3 linked regions of the Bombyx mori genome follow. The main gene of each other region encodes a partner of the protein of the gene in region 2 in a complex. Links are inferred from orthologs where the notes say so. Each region holds a gene or a part of one and is shown on either strand. Other genes may lie near its edges.

Region 1 (4,405 bases), on a different chromosome or scaffold from region 2:
TTTAATAAATTTAGTTTATTAAGAGCAGCATTGTTTCATGAATATTATGGAAGAACGGTAATTATTTTTTTTTTTTTTTTTTTTTTTTTTTTATTGCTTAGATGTGTGGACGAGCTCACAGCCCACCTGGTGTTAAGTGGTTACTGGAGCCCATAGACATCTACAACGTAAATGCGCCACACACCTTGAGATATAGTTCTAAGGTCTCAGTATTAGTCACAACGGCTGCCCCACCCTTCAAACCGAAACGCATTACTGCTTCACGGCAGAAATAGGCGGGGCGGTGGTACCTACCCGTGCGGACTCACAAGAGGTCCTACCACCAGTAATTACGCAAATTATAATTTTGCGGGTTTGATTTTTATAGCACGATGTTATTCCTTCACCGTGGAAGTCAATCGTGAACATTTGTTGAGTACGTATTTCATTAGAAAAATTGGTACCCGCCTGCGAGATTCGAACACCGGTGCATCGCTCGATACGAATGCACCGGACGTCTTATCCTTTAGGCCACGACGACTTTTAAATTAACTGATGTAACTATAGATTGTGCTTTTAATATATTAAGGTCCATGGATTCTGATGAATAGAGATACAGCCCATCTATTGCTGAGATAACAGACACTGCAATGTGAAGAATTCTGCCAAATACATAGAGTAGATAAACTTTCAAAGAAATTGGAACAACAGCTGTACTATAGTATACACCAGAACATGTGATTTAATGGTGGTAAAAATAGATAAGGCAGGGGTAGGAAAATTCAAATTTAACAATGCTCTGCATTGCATGCAATCTTCATATTTATTTCTCAAAGACATTCCTTGCTGGTCAGTAAAACATTAGGTTACCTGAGCAAATCCTTTAGTTGGATTTTGAGTCCTCACATCAAAAACATGAAACTTCCCTTCAAGTGTGGTTGCCACTAATTTATTCATTGGAATATCTTTACGATCGAATTCTAAGGAACATACCTAAACAAACAAAAATTCTTCAATATTTATCTATTAATTTTGACTTAGATATAATTTAATATATATATATATATATATTTTTTTTTTTATTGCTTACGTGGGTGGATGAGCTCACAGGCCACCTGGTGTTAAGTGGTTACTGGAGCCCATAGACATTTATAATGCAAATGCGCCACCCACCTTGAGATATAAGTTCTAAGGTCTCTGTATAGTTACAACGGCTGCCCCACCCTTCAAGCCGAAACGCATTACTGCTTCACGTCAGAAATAGGCGGGGTAGTGGTACCTACCTGTGCGGACTCACATGAGGTCCTACCACCAGTTATATAAATATATATCTCTATTGCAAAACAACCTATCAAGCTAATTTAGGATATATCATAAACTACAAAGAATTAAAACACACACAGATAATAACAAGTCATTGTTCATCAGAGTACCAGTTGAGATAATGATAAAAATTTCGAGATTAACTGAATTTATTTACTTCAATTGTGTTGATGTTTTCTTAAATAATTACTCACATTAAAATTAAAATGAACTCCCTCCCCCACTACTGTGACTTTTTGAAAAATATAACACATCTTTCTTAGGACAAGATTAAAGTGAATAACTACTGCTACTATACAACTAGTAATGACCCTGTATTTACTGATGTTAACAGGTTTCAGTAACAACTTTTTATCATGCATGTTGTATAATATGCCTATTGCGAGTTGTGACATAAAAATCTTAAATTTAGTCTTGAAATTACATACTTACTCCATTCTTCAAATTACATTCCCACCTAAGTGACATTGTTCTCAAATCAAACATTTTAAGATCTCCATTGTCATAACCAGCAACTACAATCCTTTCAGAATCATTAAATGAGTTTCCGAAGCCAACAGCCCAGCAATCCCTTCTAGTCTCACCTTGCATTGGTTGCATGTTTGCAACAGGTTTACCTCTTTGCCTTGGATCCCAAACCTTTACTGTTCCTATAATTTCAGTAATTATTATGTTATCACTACCATTTTTATTTTTCCTAAAGAGTTTTAAACCCAATGTCTGTTTCTCTGATTACTTATTCTAAATGACTTAACAAATTTTGATACTATTTTCAAAGATATAAATAGAAGTGTGAGAAAGGTTTGTGTATAAAATTTGTAAATATTTTGGACAAAATCAAAATCTGATGAGGATAAAAAAAAAACTATCCCAGTATGTCAACATGGCTAATGGTAGTCAAATCTTAGAAGGTATTGTAATATTGATTTAGAAAATCTACTCATCACCACACGAGTACCCTTTAATGTAACAGGATAATCCTTGGCATGAAACCTTACCATCTCTACTGCCAGTTACAATTTCAGGAGCTCCACAGTTGGTTGTGTTACCTCCCATCCCATCTATTGAGTTAATTATATCTGAATGTTCTTTTGTTATGTACACTTGGGAACCTTTTTCTAAGTCCCTATAGAAAATAAATTATTTATTAACATTCGATTTTTATGATTATCCGGAAAAAGTATGGATTTTATGATTTTGTTACAAACCATACTTCCAAAGTGCCTCTAAAGTCTCCAGTAGCAAATCGTCTCTCAATGTCGCTACTTGCTCCAAACGTTCCACATTTAAACGAGTTAGACCTCTCAATTTCTTTTATTTTCTTAATTTCTCCGGCGTTTATTTCAAATATTTCAATGGTACCCGAGCCTTTCGGTAAAGAACCAAGTACTATAAATTTAGCCGAACATGGTATCCACTTGCAATCAAATAGTGAATGGTTTAAGTTATTTTCAATATGGGTAATTATTTGGGGGGTATTCAATTCTTCCATGACTTAAAAATAGATATAAAAGAAATATTCAAAGGTTTATGCGAATCTTTAGCGAAAACAAACGTGACAGACAGCATTGGTTTTTGGTTGCTAGGCAACAGCATCATAGGCCACATAATATTGCTTTTTTTAAAAGATTTTATGACTTGGTAACTAAGACTTTTAGGTCATGTCTTATTTTAATTAGTATTCTTATTTTTATGAAAAATTATAAATATTATGGAGTGAATGAAGATGATTAGGTAATTTGAGACATTAATCAACTGGGATGAAATTAAATGAATTGAAATGAGATGATGTGGGATGAAATATCAGTAAAATGGTGGTGGTCATTCATTTACTGAGATTTTTTCAGCGGACTTGTTGGAGGATCCCGAGAAGTTACGTCCAGCGGCTTTGTTTCATTTTCCCAGATTTGTCCACTTTCACATATATTAAACTGTTAATAAACCACCGTTATTACACATTTAAACCTGAAGAAACACTAAATAGACAAAATAAAACAAATCACACAATTTCACTTCTTGCGTTCCCGCCAAAAAGTCCATATAATATTTTACGCAAGTCTCAAAAAATATTAAATTTTCAACCCAGCACACTTCACTCTGCTTAAGCCTCCCATGTTCCTATCATTTCCATTTCCTAGACTAGCGCTAATTTAGTTATTCTTTTTTATAAAGCCTTGATGGGGGACTAACTCACAGTCCACTTGGCGTTAAGTGGTAACGGCAGCCCGTAGATCTACAACGTAAATGCCGCCACCCACCTCGAGACATGAGTTGTAAGGAACAATACAGCAGCTGCCCCACCCTTCAAACCGAAACGCATTACTATTTCACGGCAAAAATAGGCAGGATGGTGGTACCTACCCGTTCGGACTCATAAGACGTACTACCACCAGTAATCTTCTAACATTTTTCAGCTTCTCCCCTACTCAAGATGGTGCTCCTTACTTCTTTCTACCCTTCATAAGTTTTAGAGACACTAAAAGGTTAATACTTGAATTATCATTTCAAATTTTAACCTGATTAAAACCTCTGAAAAATCTTTCTTCTTTTTTAAATCACTTTCCGTCCTTCAGTTCGATTTTTTGTTACAATAGACTTGGCATTATGGGCCCTTTTTGTCTTTGGAACAGACCATTCAATCAAATTCTCAACTTTGATTATCCCATGTGTCAAACGACAATTTTATAGCTTGGAAAATTGTGGCCAAACTTTATATTTCAATAACTTTCTAAAAATATGAGGAAATGAAAAGAAAATTGAAAAAAAAATTACGAGTCTAAAGAATGAATGAAGTTATTTATTTGAAAAAAGAATAAAATTTGTTAAATAAAAAATAAAAACTTCCTTGGGTGCTAGCAGTTGTTAGTGTCATTGAATCGGTTTTGAAATAAAGGGAATACAATGGGTGATAAAAAGTCGAGACAATCTGTAAGTGTTAGTGAAATGTAAATCCTATAGAAATCAAATGTATCTAGTAAATAATATCTTTTTGCTCCAGAAAGCGGACATTGCTAAGCAGTTCGACTTGCCTGAACGCCAATCCAAAATTACAACATTGCTGAATCAAGCTGGACAAGCGTACTGCATTTGTCGATCTTCGGAT
Region 2 (2,828 bases):
AATCTTAAACATGACAACAAAAGTTATTAATTTTTTTTATTTACCACACATTCTTCCATTTATAATTGCTACATTCATATCATACCACTTGGTATGTGAGTGGTATTTTGGTGGCTTTTCCGTTGTGTTGCTACTTATTCAATTTGTCCCCGATAAGACAGTAGTGCTTAACTGTACCCTCTATACTTGCATACTCCTATTAATGTTACACATTTATTTTGAAAAAGAATCATATAAATTTAAAAATAAAAGTAACACTGATATTTAGTAGCTTTCGTTTGCTTCGTGATTTTGTCAAACATTTAAATTTAAAGGTTCAAAATTAAAATGACCATAAAAATTCTGACTTAAATCTTTTATGGACCACAATTTGAAATCATTATGAACATATAAACTTGTAGGAGACAGGTATTATTTACTTTCTTTCAATTGTCACTACTTTCCAAAATATTAAAAACAAAAGCAAAAACTTTTATCAATTTCATTTACTATGAACAAAATGCATTCTGACATTTCTCAGTATGAAATGGGAGATTTCATAATAGCAATAAAGTTGAAATTTCCATTTTTAAACGCAAATAAAAAAAAATCCAATATATATTTATATTTTTGAACTTGTGTAAAAATAAAACAATCATAGATTATTCTCAATTCTTGTACTGTGTAATGTCAAAACTGGGTTTTACAAGCACTGTGTTATACGAGGGATGCCCATAATAATATATTATTATAATTTTACCTTCTGACATGAACTTTCATAATGGTCTACTCATTAAATACATGACAGTCAGCAAAATTTCAGAAACCCCTATTACCTCAATAAAATAGTGTAGCATTCTCCATTTCTGAATAATCAAAATTAAATATTGTTACTATTTTAAGTTTTGATTTTACTTTTCCATTACAAAGAAAATAAATTACTTTTTGTTAATCCTTCAGTTTCTTTCTGGGACAGAGGTACTAACATTAAGCCTGGAACTGGTGGTTGCATTTCCAGATCTCTCAATGTATTGACTTTGATTTTCAGGTCACTCCTCAATTTGTTTATGTCAATATTTAATTGTTTTTGATCGGCTTCCAGCAGAGTTTTAGTATCTTCAAACTTATGCTTTACGAGTATTGATCCCACCGTGAGCCAATATTTCTTCTGACTTGATTTAGTAAGATCTCTTAACGCTTCTCGATTTTTATTTCTTCGTTTATCTAGCATTATAATTTCATTTTTATCAACAAGAATATCAGATGCAAGTGTTTCTATTTGTTTTAAATACCTCAATAGTTTTTCTTGATTATTTACCATGTTTAGTGCATGTTTAATAACTTTTGTTCGTATTTTTAATTTTTAAACGAAGCCAGCTGATGTCACTTTTTTTTTTTAAGGGATTTTATGACCTGGTAACTGAGACCTTTAAGTCATGTCTTATTTTAATTTATATTCATATTTTTATGAAAAATGATATTATGGAGTGAAATGAGATGAAGACGACTAATTTAAGACATTAATCAACTGGGATGAAATTAAATGAAATGAAATGGGATGAAATATAATCTCAGTAAAATGGTGGTCATTCACTAAGATTTTTTCAGTGGACTTTTTGGAGGATCTCAAGAAGTTACGTCCATTGGCTTTGTTTCATTTTCCCACATTTGTGCACTTTCACAGATATTAAACAGTTAATAAACCACCATTATTACACATTTAAACCCGAAGAAACACTAAATAGAAAAAATAAAACAAATCACACAACTTCACTCCTGAAAAAATTTGGGACGGAACTTGAGAAGAGGGCCAATAAAAAATTTCATATCCTTTTTAATTAATTTAATTTGATATTCTGTAGATATTGTAGCATATTTTAGTTTATAACTGTATATATGTTTAGTTTATAATTGTATATTTTAGTACTTTAGTGTAGATAGTATGGAGTTGGAGGCGGGAACGGATCCCCCGGATCCGAATATTACTGAGGAGACAACTGATACGACTAACTCAAGGTTTAGCCAACCAATATTTTTCTGTGATGAGTTCGACCTTTCCAATGTATCTGAATTTGTCAACGTTAAATCGAAGAAATCCCAAAAAAAGAAACAACTTGTTAATTCTTTTAAACCAAAGATCTCGGACAAACAACTTTCGTTGCGCCCGCTGCAGCAGGCTTTGGCGGGAAATCTTGCAAATAACGTAAATAAGCTTATAGTGCCTCCTCGCCAAATTGTACAGACCTCACCAGAGCCTACTTCAGCGAGTCCTTCTATGACACCATCTGAGACCCCAATGGCTGACTCTGTTTACAGAAAAAAATACACTGAACAGGATCCCGGCCCATATATGGTCCATGTTACTTTAATCTCAGATTCTAATAGTACTACATCACTGCACCCACTTAAATTTGGAAATTTTCTAAAGAAAAGCAATCTTGGTAATATATTACAGGATGGAATTAAACGAGTAGGTCGTAATCGCCTGGCAATAACTTTTAAAACACATAGTGATGCCAATATTTTCATAGCCAACATGTCTATGAATCCATTGTATAATGTAGTGATTCCTACATATAATATATGTAAAATGGGTTTGATAAAGGGTATCCCTCAGGAGTGGACTCATGAGGACATTGTAGACAATCTGCAAATCCCAGAAGGCTATGGACAAATTATCAAATCCCGTAGATTAAACAGGAAGTCTGTCAACTCAGATGGAACTTCATGGATTCCTACTCAAACTGTGGTCTTGACTTTTGACGGACAGTCTCTTCCCTCTAGAGTGTATTCCTTTTTTTCAAGTATTCCAGTTGAACAGTATATTTATCCAACGGTACAATGTTTCA
Region 3 (3,023 bases), on a different chromosome or scaffold from region 2:
GATCAGGTAAACACAAGAAGCTCACCATAAGTAGCTCTCTGCATTCAAAAAGGCTAGTCGCAGAGAACTATGGATGATATCCTAATTCAGTAATGAACAGTGACTCAAGAAATGTAGACTGCATAAAAAGAAAAGGTATTTTTTTTAGAAAGTTACAAACTTTATTAATACTAAAGTTACAGTTTCTTGGGATTCATTAGGAACAATATAATTCTTAAATTGGGTACAAAAGCTTATAAATGTGTATTTTTTTTATAGTGACACATTGTAACTTCAATGCCTTTAGCTTTATGTAGCTTAATGCAGGAGAATGAGTATCTTGAACGTGATTAAGTTGCACTATGTTGAGATTCAAGACACAATTTTTTTTATGCCTGTATTCTTTATGAGCAGTATTAATTATTGAATAAATCATTGGAAACATAATTAGAATAAGTTTATTAAATTACATTTGTGCACTTTCTCCACTGCCAGCTTAAATTATGCCGACCATTTGTATACAAATGCAATACATAACATTTGTAATAGGTATTTAAAAACAAAAAATTACCCAATTTTTTTTAGATTGTCATATGGTTTTAGGTTAATATACAAAACTACTGGTAATAGAAGCGAACAATTATTCTAAGATGAATCTGGTTTCAAAACTAATGGTACTCATTATACCGTCAATTACCTTGCAAACTTTCAGCTTATACACACAAAAATAAATATGTACAAGTAACAAAATATTTTAGTTTTGAAAATAAATAATAAGTAAATAATAGGCAGCAGTTTGGCTGTGCTCCTGGCATATCTGATGTCTATGAGTGATGGTGACATCAGGAGGGCCACAAACATCTGCCTGCAATGGCAGTAAAATAAAAACTTACTTTCAGTAAGATTTTTTATTTTTATATTGAGTTAACAAAAGGAAGAGGTAAGTTTAGTGTAATGCCACACAGCAGTTTTTTCATGATTATTGCATAGCTAAACATACATTAAATTATTAATGTGTAATATTTTTATTTGTAATAGTAGTTCTCTAAACATACAAGTGAGTCATAATAGAAGAATAGAAATATTTTACTTTTAATTCACACATTTTTCAAGCTTTTAGTTTTAGTTTGCCAAGATCATTTCTAAGTTTATTTAAGTTTTCTTGCAGTGCTTCTTGTTTGTTTTCTAAAGCACATATGTGATCATCTGTTCTTTTGATTTCTTTGCTAATGTACTCCATACGTTTGGAGACGTTTTGTCTGGCTTCTTCCAAATCTTGCTTCACCAATACGGGTCCGATGAGTTTGTATACCTCTGAATCTTTTCTTAAGAGTTTTAGTTCCTCTTTGACTGCTTTATTTTCATTTAACTGGCTGTCTAATTGTTGTTTCTGAGTGACCGCTTTCTTTATGTCTTTTTGAACACCTTGAAATAATTCGAGCTGTTTTTGAAACTTTTTTTGTATTTCTTCCGCCATTGTGTTTCAGTCAAGGTATGATTTGATAGAAAATAAACAGTTTAATACAGAAATCTTTTCCGTTTTTTTTCACCTGCTCAAAAATTTTAGTTGAGGTTATGTCTCAAATATATTAAGTGTATAATCTATGGGTTATGTGTGTATTCTCTATGGTTTTGTCATTTGTCTGACATTGATTTTGAAATTAACCATAGATAATACACAAAAAATTTCAAGTGTCACTACGTACCGGTAAAATGGGGCGATTAGGGACAAATTCCAACTTTATGACCAATTTTAAGGTAGATGTTGATGTATATAATGCTATATCAGGATCGAAATGATTGAGTCTTGGGGGCATCTTTGTTGTCCAATTTAAAACTATGCAACTAGCATTCCAGTTTAAGCAAAAAAAGCAAAAATAGGTGTAATCCCTATTTACCCGAAAATTGCGGTTAATTGGGACGAAATGAGAAATTTGCTAGGGCTGCCACTACTTGGTTTTAATTTATTTATTTATTTAGTTGCACCAACAAAGTGATCATCAACTTGATTACATTTATTTACTTATGATTAATTTATATTTACTTGAGAAATGATCCGCGACAGATTTGTCCTGTAAGTTGTGATACAATTAAAAAAAATTTATTTCATCACTTAAAATTAGTTCAGCGTAATCGGACAACTCCGAATGAACATTGACGGAGACCATGCTACCGTGGACATTATTGTAGTCCCAAAGGAGAGTAAGCTTTCTTATAAACGGTTTATATTTTTTCGTTCTTGGTAAGTACTTAGGGGCTGATATTTTTATCTGGGTTAAGAGATTAGGTGTGTTGGTTATTCCATGGATTAATCAGATGAATACCCCCACTCTGAACAAATATTAAATATTTTACTATGTATTACTTAGACATTTTTGTCCACCTTGACATTTCATTGTTCTTGTTAGATGTCTGTGCAAAATCGACTTACTTATATTAAATTGCTTAGCTATTTCAACTAAAGACTTATTCCCAATTTCAAAGGCTTCTATTGCTGTTTTTAATATTAAGGGATCATATCTCTTTTAAGGCTTTGCACTCTTTAATACGTACACGCGAGGCATTATCTAAAAATAGAAAACAGTACGTAACTGATAATATAAGTATTTACCAAACAATAAAATAACACATTGATAATTTTGAATAAAAGTTCTAGACAAAAACATCATGAATAAACAAGATTTTTACCAACAAATTTAAAAAATATTGTTATAACTACATAGACAACCCTACAAACCTGTACCTATTTATACTCAGCTCGTTTCCATTTCACGTATTCTCATCCCAATTGACCCCTTTTTCGTTGTTATTTGTACCTAAGACGTCCCCAATATCCCCAAAAACAACAGATTTTTACATGTATTTTTATTTTATCAAATACATTAAAACCAATAACAACTGAGACTTACCTTTAATATATATGATGGCTCAAACACTAAATAACGTGTATAAATCACAGTCGTCTTCTATTAATATCAAATAAATAAAAGAGAGCAAAGTTTCTAGCACCAAAATAATGACCACCACAGGAAGTTAATTTGAAA

Evidence for each region.
Region 1: p53 and DNA damage-regulated protein 1 (region 2) and dynein axonemal assembly factor 10 share a complex: the UniProt entries of both Homo sapiens proteins name them as parts of the PAQosome complex. The link is inferred for Bombyx mori from reciprocal best matches to the Homo sapiens genes PDRG1 and DNAAF10.
Region 3: p53 and DNA damage-regulated protein 1 (region 2) and prefoldin beta subunit share a complex: the UniProt entries of both Homo sapiens proteins name them as parts of the PAQosome complex. The link is inferred for Bombyx mori from reciprocal best matches to the Homo sapiens genes PDRG1 and PFDN6.

Annotation. Positions count from the first base shown.
Region 1 is NC_085131.1:9,119,236-9,123,640, forward strand, and holds the start of dynein axonemal assembly factor 10, read right to left. Parts: upstream 2,897-4,405; 5' UTR 2,795-2,896; coding exon 2,511-2,794; intron 2,429-2,510; coding exon 2,301-2,428; intron 1,953-2,300; coding exon 1,735-1,952; intron 973-1,734; coding exon 850-972; intron 1-849. Other genes in the region: CXXC-type zinc finger protein 1, read left to right, coding at 4,204-4,230, 4,301-4,405. UniProt on the Homo sapiens protein: Key assembly factor specifically required for the stability of axonemal dynein heavy chains in cytoplasm.
Region 2 is NC_085121.1:8,869,104-8,871,931, forward strand, and holds p53 and DNA damage-regulated protein 1, read right to left. Parts: upstream 1,386-2,828; 5' UTR 1,301-1,385; coding exon 902-1,300; 3' UTR 642-901; downstream 1-641. UniProt on the Homo sapiens protein: May play a role in chaperone-mediated protein folding.
Region 3 is NC_085112.1:4,987,577-4,990,599, reverse strand, and holds prefoldin beta subunit, read right to left. Parts: upstream 1,588-3,023; 5' UTR 1,457-1,587; coding exon 1,088-1,456; 3' UTR 599-1,087; downstream 1-598. UniProt on the Homo sapiens protein: Binds specifically to cytosolic chaperonin (c-CPN) and transfers target proteins to it. Binds to nascent polypeptide chain and promotes folding in an environment in which there are many competing pathways for nonnative proteins.